4 linked regions of the Tribolium castaneum genome follow. The protein of the gene in region 2 interacts with the protein of the main gene of each other region in a biochemical or structural test. Links are inferred from orthologs where the notes say so. Each region holds a gene or a part of one and is shown on either strand. Other genes may lie near its edges.

The links.
Region 1: the proteins of CASK (region 2) and nwk form a complex in vitro, tested with the Homo sapiens proteins (2 studies listed by BioGRID and IntAct, with this or other methods). The link is inferred for Tribolium castaneum from reciprocal best matches to the Homo sapiens genes CASK and FCHSD2.
Region 3: the proteins of CASK (region 2) and Sdc form a complex in vitro, tested with the Homo sapiens proteins (2 studies listed by BioGRID and IntAct, with this or other methods). The link is inferred for Tribolium castaneum from reciprocal best matches to the Homo sapiens genes CASK and SDC2.
Region 4: the proteins of CASK (region 2) and park form a complex in vitro, tested with the Homo sapiens proteins (2 studies listed by BioGRID and IntAct, with this or other methods). The link is inferred for Tribolium castaneum from reciprocal best matches to the Homo sapiens genes CASK and PRKN.

Annotation. Positions count from the first base shown.
Region 1 is NC_087394.1:5,015,373-5,022,732, forward strand, and holds part of nwk (protein nervous wreck), read right to left. Parts: intron 4,185-7,360; coding exon 4,040-4,184; intron 3,987-4,039; coding exon 3,850-3,986; intron 883-3,849; coding exon 315-882; intron 1-314. UniProt on the Homo sapiens protein: Adapter protein that plays a role in endocytosis via clathrin-coated pits. Contributes to the internalization of cell surface receptors, such as integrin ITGB1 and transferrin receptor.
Region 2 is NC_087400.1:7,166,348-7,170,456, forward strand, and holds the start of CASK (peripheral plasma membrane protein CASK), read right to left. Parts: upstream 2,801-4,109; 5' UTR 2,189-2,800; coding exon 2,130-2,188; intron 1-2,129. Other genes in the region: probable peptidyl-tRNA hydrolase 2, read right to left, coding at 3,986-4,109. UniProt on the Homo sapiens protein: Multidomain scaffolding Mg(2+)-independent protein kinase that catalyzes the phosphotransfer from ATP to proteins such as NRXN1, and plays a role in synaptic transmembrane protein anchoring and ion channel trafficking.
Region 3 is NC_087403.1:6,249,307-6,257,438, reverse strand, and holds the start of Sdc (syndecan), read right to left. Parts: upstream 5,011-8,132; 5' UTR 4,874-5,010; coding exon 4,808-4,873; intron 1-4,807. Other genes in the region: ATPase inhibitor mai-2, mitochondrial, read right to left, coding at 5,952-6,083, 6,131-6,272, 6,351-6,403; protein mono-ADP-ribosyltransferase PARP16, read left to right, coding at 6,901-7,176, 7,222-7,356, 7,406-7,609, 7,657-7,819, 7,866-8,132. UniProt on the Homo sapiens protein: Cell surface proteoglycan which regulates dendritic arbor morphogenesis.
Region 4 is NC_087398.1:11,670,224-11,678,365, forward strand, and holds the start of park (E3 ubiquitin-protein ligase parkin), read right to left. Parts: upstream 4,912-8,142; coding exon 4,651-4,911; intron 4,602-4,650; coding exon 4,236-4,601; intron 1,966-4,235; coding exon 1,817-1,965; intron 1,768-1,816; coding exon 1,569-1,767; intron 1,519-1,568; coding exon 1,176-1,518; intron 1-1,175. Other genes in the region: protein FAM32A, read left to right, coding at 5,050-5,259, 5,314-5,436; alpha-1,3/1,6-mannosyltransferase ALG2, read right to left, coding at 5,446-6,690. UniProt on the Homo sapiens protein: Functions within a multiprotein E3 ubiquitin ligase complex, catalyzing the covalent attachment of ubiquitin moieties onto substrate proteins. Substrates include SYT11 and VDAC1.

The sequences.
Region 1 (7,360 bases), on a different chromosome or scaffold from region 2:
TTTTTTGTGTGGCCATTTATTTTTCGGGGTTTAATGATCCACCGGTAATTTGGCTTAATTTTAAATAAAAGAAATGTGTTTAAAAATTTCATTTTTTAACTTAAGGTCATTTTTTGACCCTAATTGTCCTAAAATATGTGCATTCTAAATTTCATAACAATCCGTTGACAAATAACGGAGATATTAAGCTCGAAAGTCTTAGCTGAGACACGTTGTATTTTTCTTTGATATTAAAGGAACTTTTATTTTTAAAAACGTGTAATAAGACTTTGAAATAGATAAAACGAAATAAAAAATGTGTTTTTATTTCTTACCTTTTGCCCCGACTCCCTGAGCGCGCTATAAATCTGCAACTTCCTGGTGCTCTCCCTGATCACGTTATTCTCCCTTGCTATCCTCGTGGCCCACCTTCTGGCCTCTTTGCTCAAGGTAGCGGCCGCTGAATCATGTTCTGCTGTGATGGTTTCAATAGGATCGTTGTCACACGGTTCGAAAGGATATTGTATGTGCTGTTTAAGAACGGGATAGTACAAGTAACAGCATTGAATATTATAATCTCTGGTTAGTTGTTTGGCTTGATCTCGGATGATTGTGAAGGAGTTTTGCATCGCCGAGCAGGTGAGAAGTTCAGTGCGTCCCATCAGAAAAAGATATTCGGCGACTTTTTCGTAGACGCCGCTTTCCATCGTCGACATACATTGTTGTAAATCGACGACAAAGTAGCGATTTTGATGGGCGTTTGCAGCCGCCAGGCACAGGAGGTAGTCGTTGCGGGCGCCCGTCGATTTTTCGTCGAGTTGTTCGCGTTTTGTTGAGTATTTTGCACTGTTTTTCTGCAAGGAGGTGATTGAGGTGAAGAAACCGCCCTTCTTCTTTTTGAGTCTGAAATAAATGATAGGTTTGACAATAAAATCAACAGACACAACGCAATTGCCAAGAAAATTAAATCTTTGGTTTCGTCATAATTTCATTCGACTTAACTTTTTAAATCTTCAGCTTTAACTGAATGTTAAAAAATAATAATAAATTTTAAAACTGATATTCTCGGTAGATAACAATTAATTAATGAAACGTTAATACCTCCAGAAAAACTAATAATCAATCACCTTAAAACACTGAAAAACTAGAAATATAAAAAAATAAAAACGTGGAAGACTGAAAAACTACAAACTACCTACAAACAGAATTTAACTGGAATACAAAAATAGACAAATCTAGAAAGAAGACTTAAAAAAGAATGAAAGACAAAAGTTAGATCTGGAAAATAACAAAAACTGCTCTAAATGACTGAAAAGCTGAAATACCTACTAAGAAGCTAAAAATCTGAAAGACTCAAATACTCATAAACCAAATTCAAAGACTGATTGAACTAGATTTACCATTAAAAATTGAATAATATTCAGAATTAATAAGAAACTAAGAGACTGAAAGACTTAAAAACTGAAAAACTGAAAAAATAAAAAATCCAAATACTAAGAAAACAAGAAAGTAAGACACTGTAGAACTGAAAGTCTGAAAAAATAAGAAAGTGAGCAGTACGTAACTGAAAAAAATGATAAGCTAAGAACCTCAAAATAAAAACTTAAAAAATTAAACATAACTGACATAAAATAGTAAAAAACTTAAAAATTCAAAGTGAAAGAATATGACAAAAAACAAGAACAAAAAATTAAAAAAAATAATAAATTAAAAATCCCACTATCTAAATAGTTAAAGTGACTATGGATTAAGAGGCTAAAAAGTTGAGGCTGAAAAAAAACACAACTATTAAGAAAATAAAAAACGTAAAATAAAATACAAAAATATTAAGATAAAGATTTAAATACTCTGAGAAATTAAGATTCTAAAAAAATGAAATAATGATAAAAGACTCAAAAGTGACAAAAAATCCGTTAAAACAATAATTAGAGAATGAAAAACTAAAAAACTGGAGAACTGAATGACTTAAATATTATCAAAAGTAAACTATGAAATACTCAGAATTAATGAGAAATTGATCTTAAAACTATAAATAAAAGACGAAAAATCTTTAGATGTGTGAAAAACGAAAAAAATAAATAATAAAAACTAAATGATATATTGAGTAGCTAGCTATATGATACTAATAGAAAAACTAAAAATTTTAGAAACTAGCAAGTTTAAACACTGACCTCTGAAATATCAACTTAAAATCAATTTAAAATTAAAAAGCTGACTTGAAAAACTTACGAACTGAAAAGCTAAAACACTGAGAAATAAATTAACGAAACTACTAATAAACACTTTTAAATAAAAAGTCAATTCAAAAAACCTATATAGTGAAAACTTGAAACACTAAAAAACTAAAAAACAATACGATTGCAAGTTTGATAAATAACCAAAGAACTAAAAGAGCAAAAAATTAAGAAAAATGTAGAACCTCAAAATAAAAACTTAAAAAATTAAACATAACTGACAAGAAATAGTAAAAATTCAAAGTGAAAGAATAAGACAAAAAAACAAGAACAAAAAATAAAAAAACAGAAATTAAAAATCTCACTTTCTAAGTAGTTAAAGTGACTAAAGATTAAGAGACTAAAATACTAAAAAAATATATCTAAAAATACGAAAAGCACTGAAAAACTATAAAAGATTAAAAAACTCGTACACTAAAAAACAAAAATTCTCTAGACATGAAAATTACAAAATCTCAAAAAATCAACGACTGAGAAACTAAAACATTGTGTAGGCAAATAAATACTAAGACTCAAAAATGAAGACATTTTTAAAAACTTAGAATTGAGAAACTAAATGTCTGAGAAAAGTGGGAGAAACTGTAAAATTGTGAAACAGACGCAGTGGAACTTAAAAAAAAGATTAATACAATAAAAAAACTCATAAACTATAAAAATATAAATGTAAGAAGTAGAAAAATTAAAGTAAAAACCTGACATTCCAAAAAATTAAAATCTGAGAAACTGAAAGAGTGACAATATGAAAGTAAACTACGACTGAAAGCCTAAGAAACTTGAAAATTATTGTACAAAAAATTAAAAAAAATAATAAATTGGAAAAATGGCATTCTAAGTAGCTAAAAAACAAAAGGCGAAAGTGGGAAGACAAAACAATAAAAGTTTGAAAAGGTAAAAAAGCTGTAAAACTGACATTGAAATATTTAAAGAATTAAATATTGTTATGATTTTTGGAACCTCTTTTGCTACTAAATACGTTTTCGTGAATTACTGAAACCCCTCGTAATTGATTTAAGAGCATGTTTTATAAAATCACAAAACAACCGCATTTTAAAATAGTCTGCAATTGATTTTTTATTAATTAAATTAATTACATTAATCTGAAATTACTCATTAATTCATTATTCGCTTATTTGGATGAGATAATCAAAATAAAGCTACAATTGTGTTAAACGCGGCTTGTCTAATAGGCCTTTCGGCTTGCATGTTGATTAAGTCACGTGACTGCATTTCAGTCCTCTGAGAATACGAATTATTATTATACTCCAGCTCGACAATGTCGTATCTTAACACAAAAGCTAATTGTTGCTGCAGCTCTCCCTAATAAATACACAGAAAATTAATTAAAAACGTTCAATATAAACGTTCTTTGAAAAAATATTCGACGTTTAAAACTTGTAATAAATCCGTCCAAAGTTTTTATCCTTCATCTCCCGGATAACACCGCTATCCCTTCGGGTGACGTGCAAAATTAAACCGAGTCACGAATTTATTATCCCGACTCGACTTAAGCCATTTATAGATTATGTTTAATTAAAGTATGGCCAAGCGGACGCGGCGCTTCCATAAATTCATAAACTGGGACGGGAAATCATTTTTAATGTAGTCAGACGCTTCATTATTAAAAAAAATCACTTACTTTTCTTCGATGTCTCTCGCCTTGTCCCTGACCCCATGAGCACTGTGTTCCTCATCAAAGTACATTTTTTTCGTCTTGTCCACTTCTTGTACACATCCTTGTAACTCCTTTTGTACGAGAGCCAACTGATCCAAACACTGCAAGAAAAAAATACTGTAAAAATTATCCTTACCTTTTAACACCCTCTCACTTTTTTCGCTGCTTGGAGCTTATGCACCCTTAAAATTTTCGCGTCGTCTGCTATCTGCTGCTGAAAAACTTCGACGGCTGCTAATCGAGCCCTTGCCAGTTTTTCGTTCTCTTCCAGAACCGTTCGCCAAACGTTCCACATGTTCCTGGAAAAAAAATCGATTGGAAACGACTGAATTCTTCCGGCTAAATGGACGTGTAATTTGCAAACCTCCGCCCTTCAACTTTGTGTAATTAAACGAAGTTCGGGGTTAAAAATTGCGCTAGTTTCCAAGTTCGTCAGTTTAAAGGGGAAGTACAGAAGAAATTACTTCAGTGCAAGCAACTTTTCGACTGCTTTCATCAAACACTCGAGAAATTCGAAAGTTTGAGTGTGAGAAAATTTTAGATATGAGGAGAGGCGACGAAAACTCGCAGCACTTTACCAGAATTAGAAAATTTTAAAAGTTATGAGTTTGTAAATAGATTCTTTTTCAATTATTCGTAAAAAATTAAACTTGCTTTATAAAAATCTACAACTCTCAGATAATTATTGTTCCATTTACCGGTCGTTGGAACTCAACAACAACCCTATTAACAAAACAAAAGCCGATGGCATATTTTGTTTCATACTTTGCCCTTTAAACTTTTAACCGAGTCACCCTCAACAACAACACACACACACACACGACTCACTCACTCCATTAGCTGACTCTTAATAAATCTAAAAACTTTCAAACAATACGTTACAATCTTTGACGATTTACTACGAGAATTTCAGATTAGTTTCGTATCGAATTTATGGTTCACTGCACTCAAAGTTGAGGTAAATAGAGTTCAAAGGGTGGTAGATTTTTGCTCTATTAATGACTCTCCAAGGAGTCTTTTGCGGTTTATTTAAATAAAAAATAATGAATAAATAGCACTAAAACAATAGCGGTGCGTAAACGTGTTAAACGAACAGCCTTTTAAAATTTTTATTGAAGTACCAACATTTTAAAATACACAAAAAATTTTCTTAGATATTTTACTATTTTCAAAAGTAACAGAGAATCAAAAATTTCGCAAAATTTTGACAAAAATATTCAAAAATCGTGTTATTTTTACTCTTTTTCAGAGGAATATAAACTCGCTTTTAAAATAAACAGACAAAAATTAGTTTATTTAAAAAAATCCAATGAAGAAATAAATATCACAAAATAGGATCAACAATTACGTTATTTTACTTTTTCGAGCATCTTAGAATGTTTTTAAGCCAAAAAAATTTAACGCTTATTAATAGCTTGATGTAAATTTATTAACACATTAAATAAAATCAATAAAACATTATATCAAACTGATATTTTGGTCATTTTTGTAATTTAATTCCAGAACCAGATCTAGAAGGTAGAGATCAAGATGTTTTTAGATAAGGTGTTGTTGGTTAAATTAAATAACACTGTTTAAACGGTATTTCAATTCTTAACAGTATCATAAAATTAACTGCATGTCTTACTATTGTTTTTTTTTTAGTTTAGTCATATGTTTATGTTTAAAACGCAACACTGAGATAACGATTGCATTGTTTTGTCCTGATCTAGCGATTATGTACATTTTTCAGGATGAAATGCAATTGTTTTGAAAATTCTCGCGAAAACTAAATAAAAAAATCGCCGTTATTTTGAAAATAAAAACATTTTTCGATTATTTAAGCATAATTTTTACATAAATTCTCAGTTTCAATCCCAATTTTGCAAACCTTGGCTTAATGAATTGGCTATTACATCACTTTACTCAGAAATGCAATTATTTCGTCGAAAATAAAACCAGAATGTCCGAGAACTGGTTCAAAAAGTGAAATTATATTTTGGTCTTTCTCAAGCACTTAGGCATTGTTTTTCTAGCAACACTCAGTTATTATTACTGGAAGTTTCGTCAAAATTTTTTAAAACTCACTTGATTGTATCGAAAATAATGTTACTCTCTTATTTATTCGGGCGTTTAACATGATTTAGTGCTTAAAAAGTTAATACTAAACTAAAAATTCTACCAAATTAGGTCAAAATTTAACAAAATTTACATTTAAATCTTTAAAAAAACTTCAAGTAAGACCTAAGAAAACGTATTCGTAAAAATACGAAAAATCAAGCGATTGTAAACATAATTTTAGTCACAAATTTTTAATTAAAAAAAAAAACAATGTTAACAGAGAATAACGATTTGGTAAAAACTGAACTGACCGTAACCTTTAATAGTTTGGGCTTCTTAATTAATTAAATTTTTTCAAAAGTTGAAAACAGCAGAAAAAGTTCTACCCAAGCTTTCCCCAAATGCCCAAAATGATTTCAAAATTAAAAATGATAAAGTTTTCAGTTTTAGAAAGAAGGTGCAAACTCAAAAACAAACAAAAAACACATACAAGGTGACATTGTTAAAAATGTTTTCCACCATGTGTTAAAAGCTGCTACATAATTATAAAAAAAAATAACCAAAACTACACTTATTTAAATTTTTAAGATTCATTTAATTAATTATTTCTTGGGGATAGTCACAATTTTTTAACGAATTTTTTGTACAACACAAAATTTAAGCATGGTTTGTTTTAAATTGACTTAAAAAATACTTATACGTAATTTTTGCAGCAAAATTGTAGAAAGATTTTCAAAAAAATTATATGCAAATAAAAAAATATAAAAGATAGCAAACGTTGAATCACCACGGTTGATCTGAAGATGTCTTATGTTTGAAAAAAATGTCCAAGTCTAATCTCTGGTACTTTTCTCTTTACAACAGAATATAAACGAAAATATTTCATCGACGTTTTTCGAAAAAAAACTAAGACCAAGTTTGGTTTAAATTTAAATCGAAAAAATAACAGTTTTATTAAACCAAATGAAAAAAAACAAAAAAATTGTCAGTAAAACGGAAACATTTTTTTAATTCAATATTTTTAATTAAGATTTAGGGGCCAGTTTACGAAACATTTTAATTGATTAACTTGACATTTGTCAATGAATTTTAAATGGCAACTTAATTCGAATTAGTTTAATTCTGAATTAAATCTTCATTTTGCTTTCTGTAAACCGCCCTTTAAGTTTTTAAGACAAATTTACTTTTTGCACCTTTACCTTGTAGGTCTGAATAATTTTAGAAGTGAAAAATAAAGGTACGTGTAAATTTATTTGAGTGTATTTTAGAACGGTGAAGTGAAATAAAGTGAAACTTTTCTAAATCTATAATGTTAAAGTAAAAAAAAACTTGACTTTATGAATTAAAAAATAAATTGAAAAAATGCAGACACAAAAAAAATAAAAAACTAAAAATGTAAAAAATTTAAACAAAAGAACGTAGCAGTCTGAGACCG
Region 2 (4,109 bases):
AAAAAATATTTTATTACAAAACAGAAATTCGAGTAGATAATGATAATGCTGTGAATTCCCTTATAGTTTTGTCCTGTCATTCAAATTCCATGAATTTTTATTGCTTTATTATTATTTTCTTTTTTTTCTTTTGCTTTTGTATTTACTCCAAACTATTCAAGATAATTTTTTATACTTATGATTTTTGAATTTTCTGTCCTCTTTTGCTTATTTGCTCATTTGCTCTCTTTTATTTCCATTAATTTTTATTGCTTTGTTATTATTTCCTTTTTATTTTCTTTTACTCTTGTATTTACTCCAAACTATTCAAGATAATTTTTTATACGTATGATTTTTGAATTTTCTGTTCTCGTTTGCTTATTTGCTCATTTCTTCTCCATAAACCATTGGTGAATACACTGTTTTTGTAGTTATTTAGTAAATGTCATCTGTGAAGACGAAATAAATTGTAAAAATATGAGGCAAAACATGTAATAAAACTAATAAAACAGATAATAAAGAAAAACAGAAATATAGTTTTCCCGGGATAGTGAGTAAAAAAAAACTAAACAAACGCATCATTCGTCGTAAAACCGACAAATATACAATGAAATCAGCTATTTGCTGTGAGTCACTTTGATATTTAATTTTTCTAAACGGCTTAAAACTCGTTAAACAATTCACAGCAATTTTTTGACTGACAGACAGCCCACAGTCTGTCATCGATCTGTGATGTGAAACAGAAATGCATTATGCAAAAAAGTTTTTTAAATCCCTTTCTCGACAATGAAATTTTCGCCCATCAAACGAACTAAACCGTGCAGTTTGTAACTAGAGAATTTAATGACAAATTTCAAACTGCATTGTGTATTATTTTGCTTTAACTCAGTAGCTAACACCGAAATAATTAAATTCAAAATGAATTAATTCAGGGAAAAGATCAGGCTGTAGTAAGCTATGAAATCTAATTAAAAACTCGACGTAATAATTGTGAAATGATAATTCTTCAATTAGGAAACAATAAAATTGTGTAACAAAGAACGTAATTGCTTTATGTTTGATTTGAGGTCCGTAATGACTCTCTTGCTCAAATCCATTACATCTGGACAAAAAGCTATTAAAAAAGCGTAAAAAATTACATTTAGTTATTAAAAAAAGAAATAAAACGGTTACTTGTACTTAACATAAAGTTAGTGCTTTTTCTGAAATTGCAAGCCTTTAACTAGATTATAAGAAATTAAACAAAACATAAATGATTTTAAAATAAGAAATACATACTTTCAAGCTGAAATATTTATAGTCTAGCACCCAAAATAAACAAATAAAAATCTAAAATTGTAGACCATAACGCGTCCGAAAGAACAAACGCATTTATTTTAACTATTAATTATTTATTAATAAAATAATTGTTAACTTCCATATACTACAAATATTCCAGAATGTATTTTTCATGCAATTGTTAGTCTTATCACATAACACAATAAAAAATCGGCCATTTTTTTCACAATCAGAAAAATTTTAGTATTCATCTACTGCTACTGTTGTCTGTGGTGTGTTTTAAAATCAACTTTGTCCTTCACATTAATTTAGTTAAATAATTAATATAAATAAACCAATTAATTAGCCATTTAAGAAGAGGTATAAATGACGTCAATAACTACAAAAACAATTAAATTTAAATCTTAAGTCAATTGGCAATTACCGTAAGTTCAAGTGTCAAAATTCCAGAGCCAACCTTCCCATGCGAAAAATATTTCGTCCTGAAAAGAAGTTAGCCATGGAAATTTGACCGACTTCACCCTGTATATTTTTAGTAAAAAAAGTTCGTTTTGTCAGTCCTTTTATGGAGCAAATAACTACTTTTTACGCGCACATAATATAATTTAAAGTGTCGTGTTTAACAAAATAACATGTAATTTGTATTTTGTTGATGAATTATTGGAAAACCAGGCGGTAAATCCCTGCTGTTTATAATGTATTTTTAACTCAATAACGATAAAAAAAATAAACCTCGCTTGCCACCACCCAATTACCACAATTCACCGACCGATTTCCACCCTAACCGCCGACTCCGGCTCTGTTCCACCCTCGTGTCAAACGCTTTTAGCCGCTCCACCACCCCCAAAAGACCCACCCCAGCCCCTGCTTACCTTCCGATCTCCTCGCAGAGATCGTAGACGTCGTCGAAGAGAACTTCCTCGTCGGCCATCGTTAGACCATGCCTGTGGGGCGGCGACGCCGGCAGCTAGGCAAGCCGTTCAGCACAGGCCCATGGGGGTTGCCTACCACTCTGGCCCCAACTGGGGGCGGCGAACAGGACTCCGCAAACGAACACCGCGACAATCGGACGTTTTCACCGCCGCACGACGCACACACCCAACAACACGCTAATAAACAGCCACAAACTGACAGCTGTGACAGGAACAGGCGCAACACCGGCCGGGATCACGCCTAAAACACATGCGCAGCGTCGCGCCGCGGGTTTTAACACTACGGACTGGACTTTTAACACCTCCAAAGCGGCTTGTTTGGAGTTTGATGACTGATTTAGATACGGTGGGTGCGGCCGCCGACAGGAAACCCGGTCCTGGATTGTCACACGCAAATGTCAGGCTGACAACATAACCTATCTTCGCACTTTAATAACGCGGCACCGGTTTTAAACTACTAAATAGGGACAGGCGGGGGTTTCACATGCGGGCATCGATTTCCAGGGGCGAGTTTCATTAAAACGGGTTTGATTAATTTTCGATGATATTTGACAGGTCGGAATGGTGCCACAACAAAGACATGAAAAAAACTAAATTAGTTTCGAGTTTACAGGACCGGCTTTGATCGCGCCCCAGATTTGATTAGTCCCAGGCCCGGCTTTGATCGTTGCTCCAGATTTGATTAGTCTCAGGCCCATTGGAGTGAATAACAACTTTTTTGCAACAAAAATTTATTCAGGATCGTATACACGTCTGTGCACTTGACTATACAGAATGTTCCGTCTAAACCGCACATTAGAAGTATTAAAGTTCTCATAATGATATTTATCTCAAAGTTGAGAGTACAGCCATAACCCGTTTTAGTTTTTTTTTAAATCGCTTCAAAAATCGATAATTCTGCCATTCTTAGGACTGGTTTATTGAAGCGTCATTAATTTAATTTGCAATTAAATGCGTGATTAACTGATCACATGATCAAATTGAACAAACGTGATTGGTCCATTCGCGTTAACTTTTAACAACGAATTAGATTTTGGTAAAACTTTCTATAAACCAGCCCTTAAAGCCGGTTTGCAGAACATTTTAATTGCAATTAAATTTTAATCGCGAAAAAAATCTATGGCTAATTTCTCAGTGCCATAGTATAACTTAAAAACTGTTAAACGTAAGTATAGGGAATATTAATCAAGATGAATGCAAAAATTAATTCTCAACCATTTAGTCAAATAAAAATTGTGACATTTTACTTGAAAATTGGAGTTATAGGTGTGAATTTCTGCAAACTCGATCTGAGTTTGCTAATATTTTTTAGAAATTTGAAAACACAAAAAAAAAAGATTTAAACTTTCTCTTTAAAATAAGCCAAAAGGTTAACGATTTTTTAAGTCAAAAATGAAAATCAAAAAATTAAATACTAAAATAAAAATTAAATATAGGTATAGGAAAAGCAAAATAGCTCAAGTAATCCAAAAATGCAGCAAAAAACAAAGCTTTTCATTTAATATAAGAAAGTTGATAACGACTTCCGGTGTAACCGGAAGTGCCGTCACGTTGCAAATATTTTCATTATCAGGCGGATTACGGTTGTGTGCAAATTTTTTCCCCAAAAATTATAATTATTAGAATTCTCAATACTTCGTATGGAGTTTAAGCGGAATAGCCTGTAGATAACTCTTAAAAATAAATAAATAATTTACATCTAAGTGGTCTAAAAATAAAAAAACATGCGTTCACACTAATCAGAGAGGGCTTGGGTTTCGTGGTCCTAACCTTACAATTAAATGGAATTCTAGTCATTATAACAAACTTAAAGTCCCTGTGATGGCGTTAACTTCTTCCTCGTCTCCAAAAACACTCAAAACCGTGACAGACCCTGGGGGTATCTGCGTGTGGCCAGCATCTGACACTAAATAACACGGA
Region 3 (8,132 bases), on a different chromosome or scaffold from region 2:
TTAATTAAATCGATCGCTTTCTGGAATAACATATGAAGCATCAAACAGCGGCGTTAGTAATCACATACACGTATAACATATTTAATAAATTCAAGAAACTTCACTTGGTATCACAGAATAACACATTTATATGTAAATGACACTCCGTGCTAGATAAAGGAAGTTAATCGGAACTTAACTTTTTAATCACGCAACAGGTACTTGCTTACCCCTCGTACAAAAATTACGACATCCACATGCAAATTTTTATTCATTCAATAATTTGCCTTATCTTACAACCTAAAATTAAAAATGACAACAAATTTGTAAGAATTATTTATAACTTATCGCGGACGATTATTTGGAAATAAAAACTCTGCCATTCGCTATCAAATTATAGTTGAGGGATCAGAAGTTAAAAGTGTAAAATAATAATTCAAAACACAAATGATTTAATTCATGGGCCGGACTGTAAAATACTCACAGATAAACTTCTGAGAAGCTGGCTATAAACAACTTCTGCAAGATAATTTAGAAAAAATACGCCAAATTGCGGAATTCGCATTGACATCATCAAGCCATATTTTTAATATCAAAGCCACTCTAAGAAAATAAATGCACATGAATTTTAGGAGCATGGCATTGTGTTTACGTCTCTATATGCGCTACATATGCGGTTGGTGCCCACTTATAAATAGGTATAGGTTTCTTCCGTTTACGTCAACGACTAACAGTATCCGCATCCGTTCTTCAAATTCAAAAGCAAACTTAGAAAAATTTTATTAAATTGCTGCGATAAACAAGGTCCAGTATAAACGTCATAAATTTACACAGAACTCGGAAAAATAAAGCAATTAGAATAAACACAACCAAAACAAATAAATAATGAATGCACTTTGATTGTATGAAGATGTTCCATGTCAATTTAGATTTTACAACTTCATACAAGCCGACAAGCACGCTCTGGTCACAATTTAAAACTCATCCGGGGGCAAATGCGGACTTCGGAATAAATTTATTTCAAAAAGTTTGAGCAAATTAACAAAAACTAATTTATCCGAGTTTTATTTTGCAAACCCGTCCGTGCCGCAGTCCTGTTTGAACTTTCATTTTCAAGGCTACATTGTGCGTATTTGGAAAAATTAAACTACATTGAAGTTGTTTACAAATATCAAAGTGCATTCACAGACAGTGTAATTAAGGATGATTCATTCCAAACGAATCAGTTAAAAAATCCTTTGATCCTTCTGCTTCAAGTTATAAAATTTTCATCCCGGTTTTAAAGCTGTCAAATTCGTGTTTCATGTATCGAACACACGAAAATAACTGAAATGCAAACTGTACTTATTATTATGAATTTGTAATTATATTTAACGTTCGTTACAAAACTGTTGTTATAAATAATGAAGTTCATACCGAATAACAATCGATATCTCCCAAACTCGAATTAATAATTCACTGGCAACGATTATTTACTTTTAAATAAAATTAACAAAATGTTGACTACATGCAGCGTATAAAATATTTAGTTCTCCTTTTTGTTGGAAATTAACGACGCTAAATACTGGCATTTGGACGAGGTGTTTTGGCAATAAATATAACGTTACAACATTTTAGTGAATTTTGGCAACAACAGCAGGATTGTAATTTCAGCGCGGTATTTTTTCAAAATTTATTTCATAATAAGTCTGTTCCATAAGCTGCTCGAGGCACTTCCAACAGCTTTCCACCCAGACACAAAATGACAGTTAAAAATCCTTCAAGAGACTCCTTTGAGGTTTCTCTATTCCTGTTGTTAATGGAAAAGCAGCATTTACTATAGTCTGCCATGGTAATATTTTCGCGGTGACGTAATAAAGGAAGAGTATACTGAGTGATTCACACAAAGTGCAACAAAGCACTCTCAGCACCAAAAAGAACACAACCCAGTTGTGCAAATTACCATTATTGGTAAATCTGCTTGTTATCACTTGCAGTCCTATATTTCAATTTAGCTTCGTTCGGTTAAAAATGACATTGATGAATAACACTTCGAACGACATGAATTGCTATCAAATATGTTGTTTATTAAATGCGGAGTCGGCGGGAACAGTAGCCAAACTATCGATTCGTATTATTTTGTGGACGGGGAAGTCCGTCTACGCCAATACAGATAGCTTCAAAAACCTCCGTCACTTAAAAATCGCCGGAAACGAGACTCATTTGTTTTCTATTTTGGATGAACTGTTCTTATTTTTGATCATATCGTTAGTAATTTTTCGATAAATATTGAGATTGTTGGCAAGCATCTCGCTTAGGTGACTATCTGTACTGAGTAAACATCCGATTGATACTGCAACAACGTTGTATCAATAACAGGCGTAACAATGCAGGATTTCTTACATTAGCGGAAATGAAACTCTTTGTGGTTAAAATGACAGTAACATCGCAACCGAAGTATTGATCATTTTTGTAAAACCACCCAAAAAGCAAAGTTGGAAGTAAACAATAAACATACGACCCGCACATTACTAAAGTAACCATTTCCAAAAATACCTCACAAATAAACAGCGCTTCACTGCTTATACCCTAACCAAGTTTTTGTTCCTTACCTTGGAAACACAAGCGTCCTTGATTTATAATAAAGGAATACAGCGAACAATAAAAATAATGATAAATCGCGGGGTCTTAGTGTCATCGGCGACACAAAGTTCCTTTAATCTCTCGCAAGGGCATTACCGAGCAAAAAGGAGAATCTCTCTGGACGCATCACATAAATCAAAAATATTAACAAATTATGGATTGTTTAAAAACAATTCAATTTTGATAAAAGTTTAATTGTTACGGGGTGGACACATTCGAATTATTTATGGCCTGAATTGACACGGTACTGCTAAAATATTCATCGATGCAAAAATAGCCTTCGTATACGCTTCCATTTTAATGAAACAATTTTAATGGTAAATGTGTTACGTAAGCAATTATGATTTCTTTTTAATGGCAACTTCACCCCAATGATAAATTCAAGCAATGATATTTAATACAATTATATAATCACGAAACACTCGAATTAGTAATAAATGTCCCGACATGAGATAACACTGATTTTAGTAATAATCATGCATTATCGGTGCTAATCGAATTTGTTAAGCTTAATGCTAACTACAGGAGTCTGACATAAAAGTGATAATAAACTATCCCATGCAGTTAAGTCCGTTTTAATTACGATTTAATAAATGAATAAATAGGATGAAATATTCATTTAACTAAATTACAACCTGACAGCATGCTTTATCGTCCACCACATTAAACTGGAATTGCTCTACTGCCAATTCGCCAATTTATGTACTAAATAAATCCCGATTTTGCCAACTTTTCAAACTGACCAATTCAGTTTTCTCCGAAAGCACGGAGACATGTTAATGCTATTTTTGGTTCCCCATCAATAAAATAACGACATGACCTGTTACGGTAGCTGTAAAATCTCCATTGACTGAAATTCTCACGAAAATCATGATACGTTTCAAGTGCTTGTGAAAAACCTCCGCCTTGCGTATTTTTCCGCAAAAATGATACAGATGTGCTGAAGCAGATTTAAGGCGACCTTCAATCTTGCACAAAACTGTATCCCTTGATTCAATCAGACTGTATGAATAAATACGTCTATACGAGAACACTCCTTGATGTATTAATAGAAATGAAAACAATTTCTTCGCTTTAGTCACGAAAATCAGATGCAAAAATGAATCGCGGAGTTAAATACCACGAACCACCAGTATATTACATCTGGAATTAGCAAACCTCACCCCATTTTCTCTCAAAAGCAAATTAGTGGAATAGAAGAGATAAGTAAATTACCTACAAAGGTGAAAATCTTAACAGAGGGTGTTGTTATGATCTCCCTTGCGATACATCATTAAAACCTCTTTTGACAGATTTTACAGCATCACAATTTGCGTTAATTTTAAATATACATTTCCAGGCTGATAATTTTCTGCGACCAAATTAAATAAGAATATTTATGCGCGTTTCAAGTGAATACACTTCGTTAGGAATTAAAATGTTTAACATGCAATTCTAATTTGTAATTCCATTTAATTATCCCTAATTCCGCTCAAATGAGCATTGTTGCAATTAAAAATTATGGAAACAAAATGTAGCAAGATGGATATACATCTCGAAACGAGTTTTTACGCATCATTTCTTCCATTTACTACTACATTATAAATAATTTATAAGTGTGATTATTTTAAGTTACGTAAAAAAGCAGTCTTTGTCAAAACGCTTAGTGCAAGCTTAATTTATGGAATTTATGAGGTAGGGATGCAGCAAAATATTTCTTCAGTTTTGCAATGGTTGTAACAGGAGGCTTCGTTCGGTTTTAATGGAATGTTTCATTAGAAGTAATTAATTATGCAAAATGCTTATCAATGACGAAGTCCTTGTGTTTGTCCATTTGCTGATTGATTTTTCGGAATATTGGCGATATTTACGATCCGTAGAAAAGGAAGAAGTTTTATGATCTTGTAAAATGATTTATTTGGCCGACTAAAGGTTGGCATTAAATTAAAATCAGTAAAAGCGCGTAAACAAAATACCATCTGCAGGAGCGATGATTTTTTTGGAAGGCGAATGCCGTCTGTCCGGAAAATCGAAATTATAGATGATACAATGTAAACATTTTCGTATGCGTCTCGTCATTGTTATTAATTTGCGTTCGTGCACATTAACATAAATATTTTTGACGCGCTTTCGCCAAGAAAAAACCTCAAAGCTCGGACGAGCTCCAACATTTAAGACACAAGTTTAGGCCCCGAACGAGTAGGAATGATGAACATTTGTAACTTACCTGTGCTGCTGTCGCAAATCCAAATAGGATTGCACAACATAATAATGAACATATCCTTAAATACATCACTAAAAACAGTTTTTACTAGTCGAATTAACTCGACTATTTGTTTTTATTTCTGTAACTTAATATGGCACGGTTACCCCACAGCAAGCAACAAACGCATACAGTGTACTAGCTGATCAATGAGAAATACAACTACGGGTTGTCGAGTTACCGACTGGGTTCGGTCATTTTACAGCTCAAGCGCACACCGGCGCCAATTTCGAATTTGCCACCCAGCGGATGGCAACACTGCATTTTTTATGCTGAAGGGCCGCCATTACCGCCAATTATTTCAAAAAAACATGATATTAAGTGCTTAAAACAAGAATCTAACCTTTAAAAAGCTATCCTAAAAAAGGCTTATATAACTTTTTGTTATAGAAAGTTTTAACTTAGTTGTATGTCTTTTACCACTACCCAAAAAAAGATCTGACTCTTTTGAATCACCCTGTATACTTATGCCACGTAAAATTTATTTACATATACAAAACAATATTATTATGCCTTTTTTCTTCCTATAGACTGGTCATTGCGGAACATTGGGGGTGTGTTTTGTACACGTTGTAACAAGTTTTTTGAGTTATTTCATGTTTCTACCGCACACAAGCTCGCAATGCGACTTTAAAGCTCGCAATCGACTTTAAAGCTCGCAATCGACTTTAAAGCTCGCAATCGACTTTAAAGCTCGCAATCGACTTTAAAGCTCGCAATCGACTTTAAAGCTCGCAATGCGACTTTAAAGCTCGCAATGCGACTTTAAAACTCGCAATGCAACATTAAAGCACGCAATACGACTTTTAAAGCTCGCAATGCGACTATTTACTTAAGGTCCAAGATTTTATTAATTTAACAGTTTGAAAAATTTGTGATCGTGGCCCTTTAAGGGCATCGTAGTACGCAGTGTCAAACACTAAACAAATATTACGTAACCATCATTTTTATCGAAAAAATAAATATGGTGTGCCACACACAATTGAGAAAAACACACAGTGAAGGCGATAATATTTATTTGAAAATAATACCTATATCATACAGTAAACGTGAACATATTTTCCAATCTAAGAAATCTACTTTCAAGCTGTGGAACTCAAATATGAAATTACTCCTTGTCGATTTCGGTGACTCTCTGCTTGTGGCGATTGATCGCATCTTGATGTCTCTTGATTTGCTCCTCGTGGAAATTAATTTCGTTCTTTAAATCGTCTTTCAGTTTCGATAACTGTTCCCTTTGCTTAAAAAAAACTATAAACAAATCTATTATTAGCCGGTGCATCTAACCTTTTTATAGAAATACTCCTCTTCCTTGGCGGCTTCAGCCTTGCCGAAGGCACCCCCGGCTTCGCGAATTGTGCCGCCGCCGCCGCCCCCTTTCCCAGCCCCGCTCCCTAAATCGCCAAGCTGTGACATTAATCGAAACTGTCTGAAATAAAAATATGACAATATTATGTAAGACGATGACTGGAAGGCACTAAGTGGTGCAGTTTGCACCTGCACCTACTTCGGAGCTTTCGATGCCTCCAGAAGGGTTCGCGGGTTACGCAAAAAGCTCATTTCGTACTTTGCGAGAAGTTTGTGCCGCAAAATCACCTGGACTTCGTGTGACAACTTTTCACCAACTCCTGAATGTCAAAGTGTCAAATTCACCGGTAAGCTAGGCAGCTACCTGAGCGACATCTAATGAATTCCACTCCCAAAACCACCAAAACTCTTCGAAATTTCCTTAAATTCCCTTTATTCTGGCTAATTTGTTCCGTGAGCTCCTCTGGTGCTATTCTTTAATGGTTATCAATTTTTTTAATAGCGTGAAATGAAAAAAAAAATCTTCGGGCGTGAGAACTTTCGGGTGGGAACTTGTCATCACTTGTCAAAATTCAATGTTTGGTGTCATCATAAGTAAATAAAGGCTTTGACAACACGTTAGACCAACGTGTAACTCGACAAAAAATTGCATAATTGCAGAAATCCCCGCAATGATTTAATTGAAATGTGACCTTGCCTCAGAACTGTATTATGATAAATGTGGGTGCACTCAAAATTTAAGACCACAAATGGAGTTTGGTAAAGATAAGTTGTTGCCAATTACTGATTCTGATGAGAGTTTTTCTGACATAACTTTCGTTGCCCCATATTCGCCCGATAAAGACGAGCAAACGGGGCAACTGCAACTAGACCAATTACTGAAGGAAATCAAAGACAATGTTTGGGGCTGTGACTTAATCCTGTGTTTGTTCATCTCTGCGTTGAACTCGTACAGGTCAGATCGTTGTTTAAGGCCGTTTCCACCCTCATATGTAAATGAAGAGGGAAAGAATTTCACTGGATTGGTAAAAACCCAATTATCTTTTCAGTCTAATGAGTTAGGTTTTTAGAGAAGTACCTGTGATAGCATTCCACCTCTTACCACAATTTTAAACGAACCAAATAAATGCTCACACGATGTAAAAAAATTGCTTATGTGGCTGTTTTTAGAGAGGGGTCATCCCACACTTAGAAGGATTAGTTATGTAAGTGGTCACTGATCGTGTTATCTTTTTATTTGTGTAAATATTCTAGGCCAATGTCCCGTTTCCGGGCAAAATTAGTAACGTGTTCAGGCCCCAATTTGTGTTTGAAGTTTGTTATCACGATAAATACGAGTCAGTGTGGCTCAAAAGGCAGGATGGGAGGGAGACAATGTTTGCATATCATGGCAGTGCTGTCGATAATTTTTATTCGATTCTTAAAGTTGGTTTGCAACAACACTTCAGCATCGAAAAGGTTTCTTTCAGTAATCGAGACTTCTATTACTTAATTTGCTTATTTAGGAGGTTTTATTTGGAAATGGAATTTACTTATCTAACGAGTTATCAGTGAGTGCACATTATGCCCCTTTTGGTCAAACTTGGACCAATAGTTGTTTAGGCAGTAAACACAGTGTGATTGCAATTTGCGAAGTAATTAATGATGTTGATAAGGTCAGATGTCGAGGTAAAAATGATGGTTGCGTTGGGCTTGGTTAAATCTTTTGTTTTAGACACCAAAAACAAAAGAAGATCTCTTAATGAAGACAGTTTGGGTGAAATACCCGAGAAGTACTTTGTTGTAACTGACAGTGATATGGTTAGAGTTAAATATCTTATGATTTATAGAAAAAAGAGAGTATTTTCGGTAAAATCTTACATAGCTCAGCACCTCTTCCTGTGTCTTTTACTTTTGTACTTTTTTTTGATCGTTGCCATAAGGGTTTTTAGCAATTCTGGTTATGTCAGATACTTAAAAAAGTTTTACCAATTGTTGTCCT
Region 4 (8,142 bases), on a different chromosome or scaffold from region 2:
CGGATGTCTTTTACTCGATAATGGGACATTTTACAAAAAAATTACAAGAGACAAAAACATTTCTAAAGAAGATAGGCTTTTAGATTCTAGTAACACCAAAGCCAAACTAATTTATTTCTATAACCCTGTATAGAATAAGGCGTTTTCAATCTGTTCTATGAGTTTCCACGTTTTTAAGCAAGGAATTGTCCAAAATGAATCGTTTTCTTCCAAACTAGTGTATCAACCGTTTTTTGAGTAAGAATAAGACGTTTTCACTCTGTTTTATAAAAATTTTCTCGTTTATAAACAATGAATTGTCTGAACTTTCCCATTTGAAAATAAGTAATCATTTTTTGGAAAATGTGAAGTTAAAAAATTTAATTCGATAAATTCTTACTCCTACATAAGTACATAACGAAGTTTTTTTTTAGCTCGTTTACACTTTACATTAACAAAGTCGCGTAAAAATTGACCAATCTTAATTTTTATTAATTTGTGCTAAAAGTTATATTTTCTTACACAGACTAAAAAATTCAGAAAAAATGACTCAGTGGCAACACTGAATAGAGTACGTTTCCAGTTACCAAAAATTCAACAATATTGTGGGGATGTTCATAAAATGATTGTCAAGAAAAAAATTCGGTTACAGTGTGGCAAATTACAAACAAAAATATTTTCACATTTGTGTAATAATCTATTTTTGACAATATTGTGTTATTTATTAGACTATTTTTTTCAAAAACAAACAATCTAGCGAAATAATTAAAAATTTTTGCAGTTAAACCTCGACTCAAACGTGCTTAGAACACATGAATAGAAAAGTTATTAATAATAAGAGTGCGAAAACACAAGTTTAAAGGTCGAGGGCTGTCGTTATGCAACGAGCATATGCGAGTTCTATACCTAGACACTCGAGAACGTTTTTGAATAAGTGTTATTCCAATTTTTTTGTTGGAACATTTTAATTTAAAACACGTTGTTATGGGAAGTGTGTTTTAAAATAGTGAAAACACGTTACTATGGGAAACGTGTTTTAAAATAGTGTTTATATATCTAGGATTAAGATATTAAAAATAAAGGCTTAAAATGTTACTTACCAACAAAAAAAATATTTCTTTAAAGAAATTTAATTTTTGCTTATAGTTTTATAACACCACAAAATTGAAGCAAATTACAAAAAAAAAAATACTAACCATCTCGTTCAGTGGGGGTGCGACATTTGGGACAGGGCTTTGTCAAGACTTTAATCGCAACTTTCGAAGCTTCGTCCCAACGGGCTTCCGCGGCTCTTGTGGGGTCCACATTGTACGAACAATCCCCCGGGGCCCCCACGTCCCCTTCGGGCGCTTCGCACTCCCCAATGTGGAACCCCTGGAGGCACAGGCGGCAGAAAACGTAGCCGCAGCCGTTGATGCACGTGATTTTGGTGCACTCGGGGTCCGCCAGTATGCCCATGCCGCAGCCCGGCTGGGGGCAGAGCACCCCACCGGAGCGCAACACATACTCTTCAGTCGCAAATCTCTGATATTGTGTGTACTATAAAAAAATTAGTCCGCGCTATTAAACGGGCTTGAAGCAGAGCTCACTTGACTCTCTGACAGGAGGCGAAAATGGTGGATCTCCTGGATGAAGGAGTCGGGACAGCCAGCGGGGCACGCTAGCGTGTAGCCAAACTCGGGGTGTTGCCAGAATTGGCGTTCCCGCAGCCGTGTCGTGCAGTACTGGCGGAAACAGTCGAGGCAAGTAACGTGGCCCTCTTTACATGGAAAGACGAACACGGTTTCGCTAAAATTTTATTGGTTATTTTCACGCTAGGAGTTATTTTCGCGTTTACTTTATGTCAGCGCACGCTAGACAAGGCACTTCTTTTAAATTTGGACGAATTAGATAGAGGGGAACAGCCTCGTCGGTCTCTCCAAGGGACGTGTGCTCCGAGCATTTGAAATAAAATTCGGCGAAAGTCGGTTCTTTGTTGTTCAGAACCTGCAGGAATTATTAATTAAAAATTTTAATTTAATAGATTTTCGAAATAATAGATTTTCCAGGGTATAGGTAGCGGTTTTATCAAATTTGAATTCAAAACATGTGTTAAAAAAATATTTTTATTTAACGTCGTTTTTACCGTGTTCATCATAGTCGTTCTTAATTTGTGTTTTAAGAGCAAGCTAAACTAAAATATTTCTAGCGAAGGTCGTTAAATCGATCAAGTATTTTCTGTTACCAAACGAAACTGTCTATCTTTGCTTTTGTACGCATCTCACGCACAAACAAAATATTATTGTAGCGCTTTAGTAGATTCCCGTTGAATACATTTTTATCTCAAAAAAGGTAATATTAAAAGAATTAAAAATTAAATTTACCTACTTATGTGCTACCTACTAGTAATTTCTATTGACACTTAATTAAAAGAAATGATTTAAGACAGGTACAAAGATAGAAAAAAAAGCAGGTAAAAAAGGAGAATTGAAAAGTTATGGTAATCCAATTGTCTTTGTTTATAATTTATTATTAATATTGTAATCTAATAAAAAATCTAAACTATTATTCTTGTGTGTCGTTTTGATTATGGAGCGATTCTTACTTATTTTTACATAATTTTCTCTTCCTTATACAGCGTTCAAAATGATGTTGCCAAACTTTACGGTGTTATAGAGGTCACTAAGATAGAAATGTTTTGCTGATAAACGCTGATAAATGAGCCGTTTTGCCTCTAGAGTCATGTCTTTGTCCAGAAATGATTACATTCAAAAATTCCCATAAAACTTACGTTTCATAACGTTATTTCAATAAATTGTCAAAATACCACTGCCTTATTTCATGTCAGTTTGCTCTACTTGCGTTAATGTTTGATAAAAAAGTATTTTAAACATGTATACATTTGTCAGAAAATAACAACAAACATCTATTTTTATTTTTTTTGAATATTGATTAATTTTTCCGGCGCATCCACCATTTTTTTAATTTGCAGTTTGTTAATAGTAAATTGTTTTACACTTGTTTTTCTTATATTTTCTGTACACTTGTACATTTTTGACTAAAGTTATTCAAAGTAGTATTTGGAAATGTTTAATTTGATAATTTCTCCCGGCGCATCCACCATTTTTAAAACGCTGTCTTGTTCACTTTAAGACACCAACTGGTGTCAAAAGGCGGTGGTGTGTGCATGTGTTGTTGTCATTAAGTCATTGTTAATTCCATCTTTTAATGTTTACTTCCAAGAATTTGAACGAGTAAAAAGCCTGATGATGTTTATTACATTAACTTTTAACTAAACTTTTTAAGGAACTTGGTCTTATCGTCGTGAATTTTTTTAAAATCAATCAGTCAAGGACGTTTAAAAAATTTTTATTATAACAATTTTTACACAATACTAGAGATTTCATCATTTCAATTTGAAACAGTTGTAAAATTTGGATTTTTTCAAGTCACAAGACATTCTACTTTGAAGCAGATTTTTTTTAAATAATTATTTCTTTTCAGTCCTATAACTCGCTTACGGGTAGTCCTATAACAAAAGTGCATAGGACCAATTTTTGTAGGAAATTTCATCAGCTTTAATTTTTGTAAGAAGGTGAAAACCGACAATGATTGTTTCCGTGGTATAAGAAATAAAACGAAAAATGACACACTTAACCCTCTCCCCCATCTCGAGCTCAGCCTCCATCCTCTGGGATTTTTAATATCTGTCTATCTAAAGAACGCGTTTAAAAAATTCCAACTCACTAGGAATTTTTGCCACCAACCGCCCAATTCTTGTCTGGTCTAACTTGACTGGGCTAGATACCTGATTTATAGCTGGAACACATTTTCTAAAAATGTTATAGAGACCCTCAGTAGTAACCCAAATTTCAAATTTAGATTTACATTCAATAAATTTGGTAACTGTAGAAAATTTTAACTTTATGATAGAAAAAGAAATTTAAAAAAGTATCTGAAAATATTTTGGCGTATATTGTTTTTAATTGTCTTCAGCGACTTTTAGTTTTTAAAATTAACATTGATTTCCCTGTACCAGAATTTCGGTTTAGCTCGCTCTTATGGTGTTAATGAATCTGCTGCTTCTAGTTAGGTGAGCGGACATTACGATTGCAAACATTTTAAAAATTTTCGCAATGCTCCTTAGTAAGCGTAAATATTTTTAACTTTAAATATTTTGACTATAAACATTTTAAAGGAAAATTAAATTTTGTCCAGTACTATTTTTAGTGTGGAGTGTTTTTGACTAATTTCAATTAAATAATTAAAAAACGTACGTTGGCGCACAATTCGGGGCTATTCTCACAAAGGCCGGTTATCTGCTTTGGCTGCAGCACATCATTCCAGTTTTGGGGGTCTGAGTGCACCGTGAAAGCCCCCGATTTGCAAAAGTGGCACCGAACTCGCAATTTCCCATTTTTGAGGGCTTTACACGTGGGGCAATAGACAAAAAAGTGGACTTTGCGTTGCTCGGTGGGCCCTTCCTCGTAATCATCGTTTGAAAAACTCAAATCTGATAAGGTCTCACACAGAGGTTTGCCCTCGTCACTTTCCTCAATTACGGCATTGTTTAAAGTGGGAGGGTTGGGCTTTTTGGTGATTTTGATAGCGTGGAGGGTGCTTTGTTGGCCCAAATCACATTCCTAGAATGACTAACTGGTTACGACTAGTGGTATTGAGGGCAAAACTCACAGAAATACTAATGTTGTCTCCCAGCTCTTTTCCAGCGAAAATAATCTTTACCTCGCCTGGTTTCAGTCCCAATTGGGGCGCAACGAACTCTTTCACCTCTTTTATGTCCCAGGTGGGGTCCAAATCGACCGAAAGCGTATTCCCTGTGTTGGTTTTTATGTAAATACTCAAATTATTGCTCAGCGTTTTTCTACTAAATGACAGAAATTGTAACATCTTATGCAACAAATCTTTAATTACGTTGATAATAAAACTCATCATCTGTGGTAACCGCGGCCGGGCTTATTTTTAGAAAAAAACATTTTTTGTGAGGAAATTTCATAACCTCATTCTTGGGGATTGTCGATCCGTTACGTTGGTTGTTGTGTGAAAAATTCCAGAAACGTCAAAACAAACAAGATGGGGCAAAGTGACGACCCATACGCACAAGTTTGCAAGGGAAAATTGCAATTAAAAGGTGATAACAGCATTAAAAAGAAAAAGAAGAAGAAAGATAAGAAGTTGTTAGAGCAAGTGAGCAAAATTGTCGAAAGTGAGACACCGGAATCAAAGCCTGCGAGGCAAAAAACAAAAGCCGAACTTGCGTTCTTAAAACAGCAAGAAAAAATGGTAAATAAATCACATTTCGTGTTAAATTTGTTGCCTGATTGTTACAATTTGCAGCAAACTCAACGCATCTTGGAAAAAGCGTCAATGACACACAAAGAAAGAGTAGAAAAATTCAACCAACACTTGGACGGGCTCACGGAACACTTTGACATACCTAAGGTCTCTTGGACTAAGTAAAATATTTATTTAAATAAACTTCTTATTTACACTAGTGTGATCAAGGATTTTCTTCAAATTCCTTGCAAAACTCTCATTTGAGAATTTCTCCTGCAACACTTTGCGCCCCTTGAGCCCCATTGCCTTGTTATCCGACTTGAATATCCTGTACATGAATTGCGCTAAACTGTCGGGGGTCGGTTCGCATAAATAGCCCGTGTTTCCGTGGTCGACTGTCTCTCGGGGGCCCCCACTGTTGCACGCAATGACGGGCTTAGCCACCGTCATTGCCTCGAGGGGGACAATGCCGAAGTGCTCCTTCACGGGCGTGTAAACGAGGCAGTCACACGCCATCAGAAGTTCCGTCTTGACGTCATCGGGGGGCGACTTGAGGAAAATAATCTTGTCTTGGAGCCCCTTCTCAGCGACGAGTTTCTCCAAGTCGGTGAAATAACTGGCGTTTATGGACGATTGGGGGTCGTAGCCCCCGGCCATAACCAAGAAAATGCCTTTACGTTCATTTTCCGAGGTGATTCTTTGCAAAATTTCCATCGCATTGATGGCCAAGTCCAGTTTCTTGGCGGGATGGAAGCGGTTGATGGAGAGGAAGACACAGGCGGCGTTTTGGGGTATTTCTGGGATTATTTGGTGGATTGGTCTGGGGTTTTTGGTGTTTTTGACGGCTTCTAAGAACGAGGAGGCCACTGTGGGGTACACCACTTGTACAGTCTTTGTGATTTGGGGGAAAGTCTCCCGGAAGACCGAAGCCGTGTACTCACTATTCACTAGAATGATATCAGCCCGAGCTGTGGACTTTAACTCCAACCAGTTTATGGGCTTCCTGTAGAAATTTTTTAAGGCCCCCCCTGGCGCACTGGCGAGCAAGTCCGGGTGGTGACAATAATAGATAACTTTTTCGCCGAATAATTTCAAAATTGGCACAGCCATAGGGATTAAGTCCACAAAGTACACGTCAGGCTTTTGAGTGGTACGGTAGAAAATTGCGTAGACTAGTGTTAAATAAATCATTCTGATGTAAGCGCACAGTGCTTGGAACCTTCCGAAGAGGTGTCTCGGAAGCCAGTCGCCGTACACTTGAACGGGGAACTCCCCATTCTTGAGCTCCTCAAAAGCGTGGTTTTTGTCGAAATGGTTGGTTAGAAGAATTATTTCGTTTCCTTGTTTAGATAAGGCACTCGCGACGTCTAAAACTAACCGTTCCGCACCCCCTATTCCCAAATCAGGGTGAATAAAAGCTACTTTTCGTTTCGGCATTGTTTAAGTGAGGTTATCTCATTTTTGACAGCGTTAAATCAGTGGCACCAACCATACAGAATACAGAACTTAAAAATCCTGATTTAAATTAAATTAGGACAACTTCCACCGACTTTTTGTTTCAGTTCAATATTCCTTCTTTATTTCATCTCCTTGTTCCAATTATGGTGTTTTTCATGTAACAAATCGTCCATGGGGTAGAAAAATTGAAGATGAGAGAGACGCAACATAAACAAAGACAGACTTAATCAATTTATGAATTAACGTAAAGTGATTGTAAGATTTGTAAGCACTTTGATTGGGCCGTTTGAGGTCGGCCATTAGAATTTTGGAGAAAACCAATCACTTCAAATTTTTTGATTCATTGAAAAATTGTATTTTTGAATCTGATTGGTCCATTTCAGGTCGGCCATTATAATATAAAGTGAGAAACCAATCATTTTAAATAGTCATTCACTAATTTGATGTGAATGGTTAGTTTAAATTTGAAAGCAGACAATAAATAAACATTGTTTATTTTGTTTTGTGTTAAACGGCTTTTCTTAATGCTTCCCTGAATCAAAATTTTAGTGAAAAACTTGGTAGCAGCTTATCTCAATTGCCACAAATTTGTTTTTCTTATTTCTTGGAAAATATAATTACCTTCAAGTTAAAAAACAAAAATAAAATAAAGAATGAAATATCAACAAAAGTTAAAAATAAGTTAATTGCTAAAGTGAGAGTGAAGTGACCTACGGCAATAAAACATAGAACCGATTTATAGAAAGCGTTGCTGAAATTTAAATTGTTGTTGAAACTTAACAACGCGAATGGACCAATTACATTTGTTCAATTTGGTCACGTGATCAGTTTAATTGCGAAATTAATGACGCTTGTATAAATCGGGCTAAGGGTCGGTTTATAGAAGCGTCATTAAGTTAATCTGAAATTAAATGTAATTTGATTAGTCCATTCGCGTTGTTAGCTTTTAACAAGGAATTAAATTTATTTACGGCGACAATTAGTATGCATTTGTACAATTGTTAATAGCATGATGTATTTTTATAATTGTAATTAATTTGTAAGTTAGTTTATTTAGAAAAAAAAACTTAAAAAAATCGTCTTGAAATCTAGGAACAAAAGAGAGCTTTAGACTCTCATTTCCTTAGGAAACATTTTCGGACGAAAAAAATATGAGAACATTTTTTTTTTCTTAATTTGACCTAGGAAATCTCCCTCCCCCCCCAAAATCTTTCAAGGATTTTTCGGATATCTTTTTCATTTTATTTTTTACGATCCCAAAAAAATCAGTACCTGTATACCTAACTTCGATTGCATTTTCCATAAAAAAAACTTAAGAACCAGTTCTTATTTGGTATAACATTTTGGAAACATTAACTTATGGACGCTAGAGGGCAGGGAATTGTATTAAAGTGGTGAATGTTATGTCATTTTATTGTCATTTTACCACTT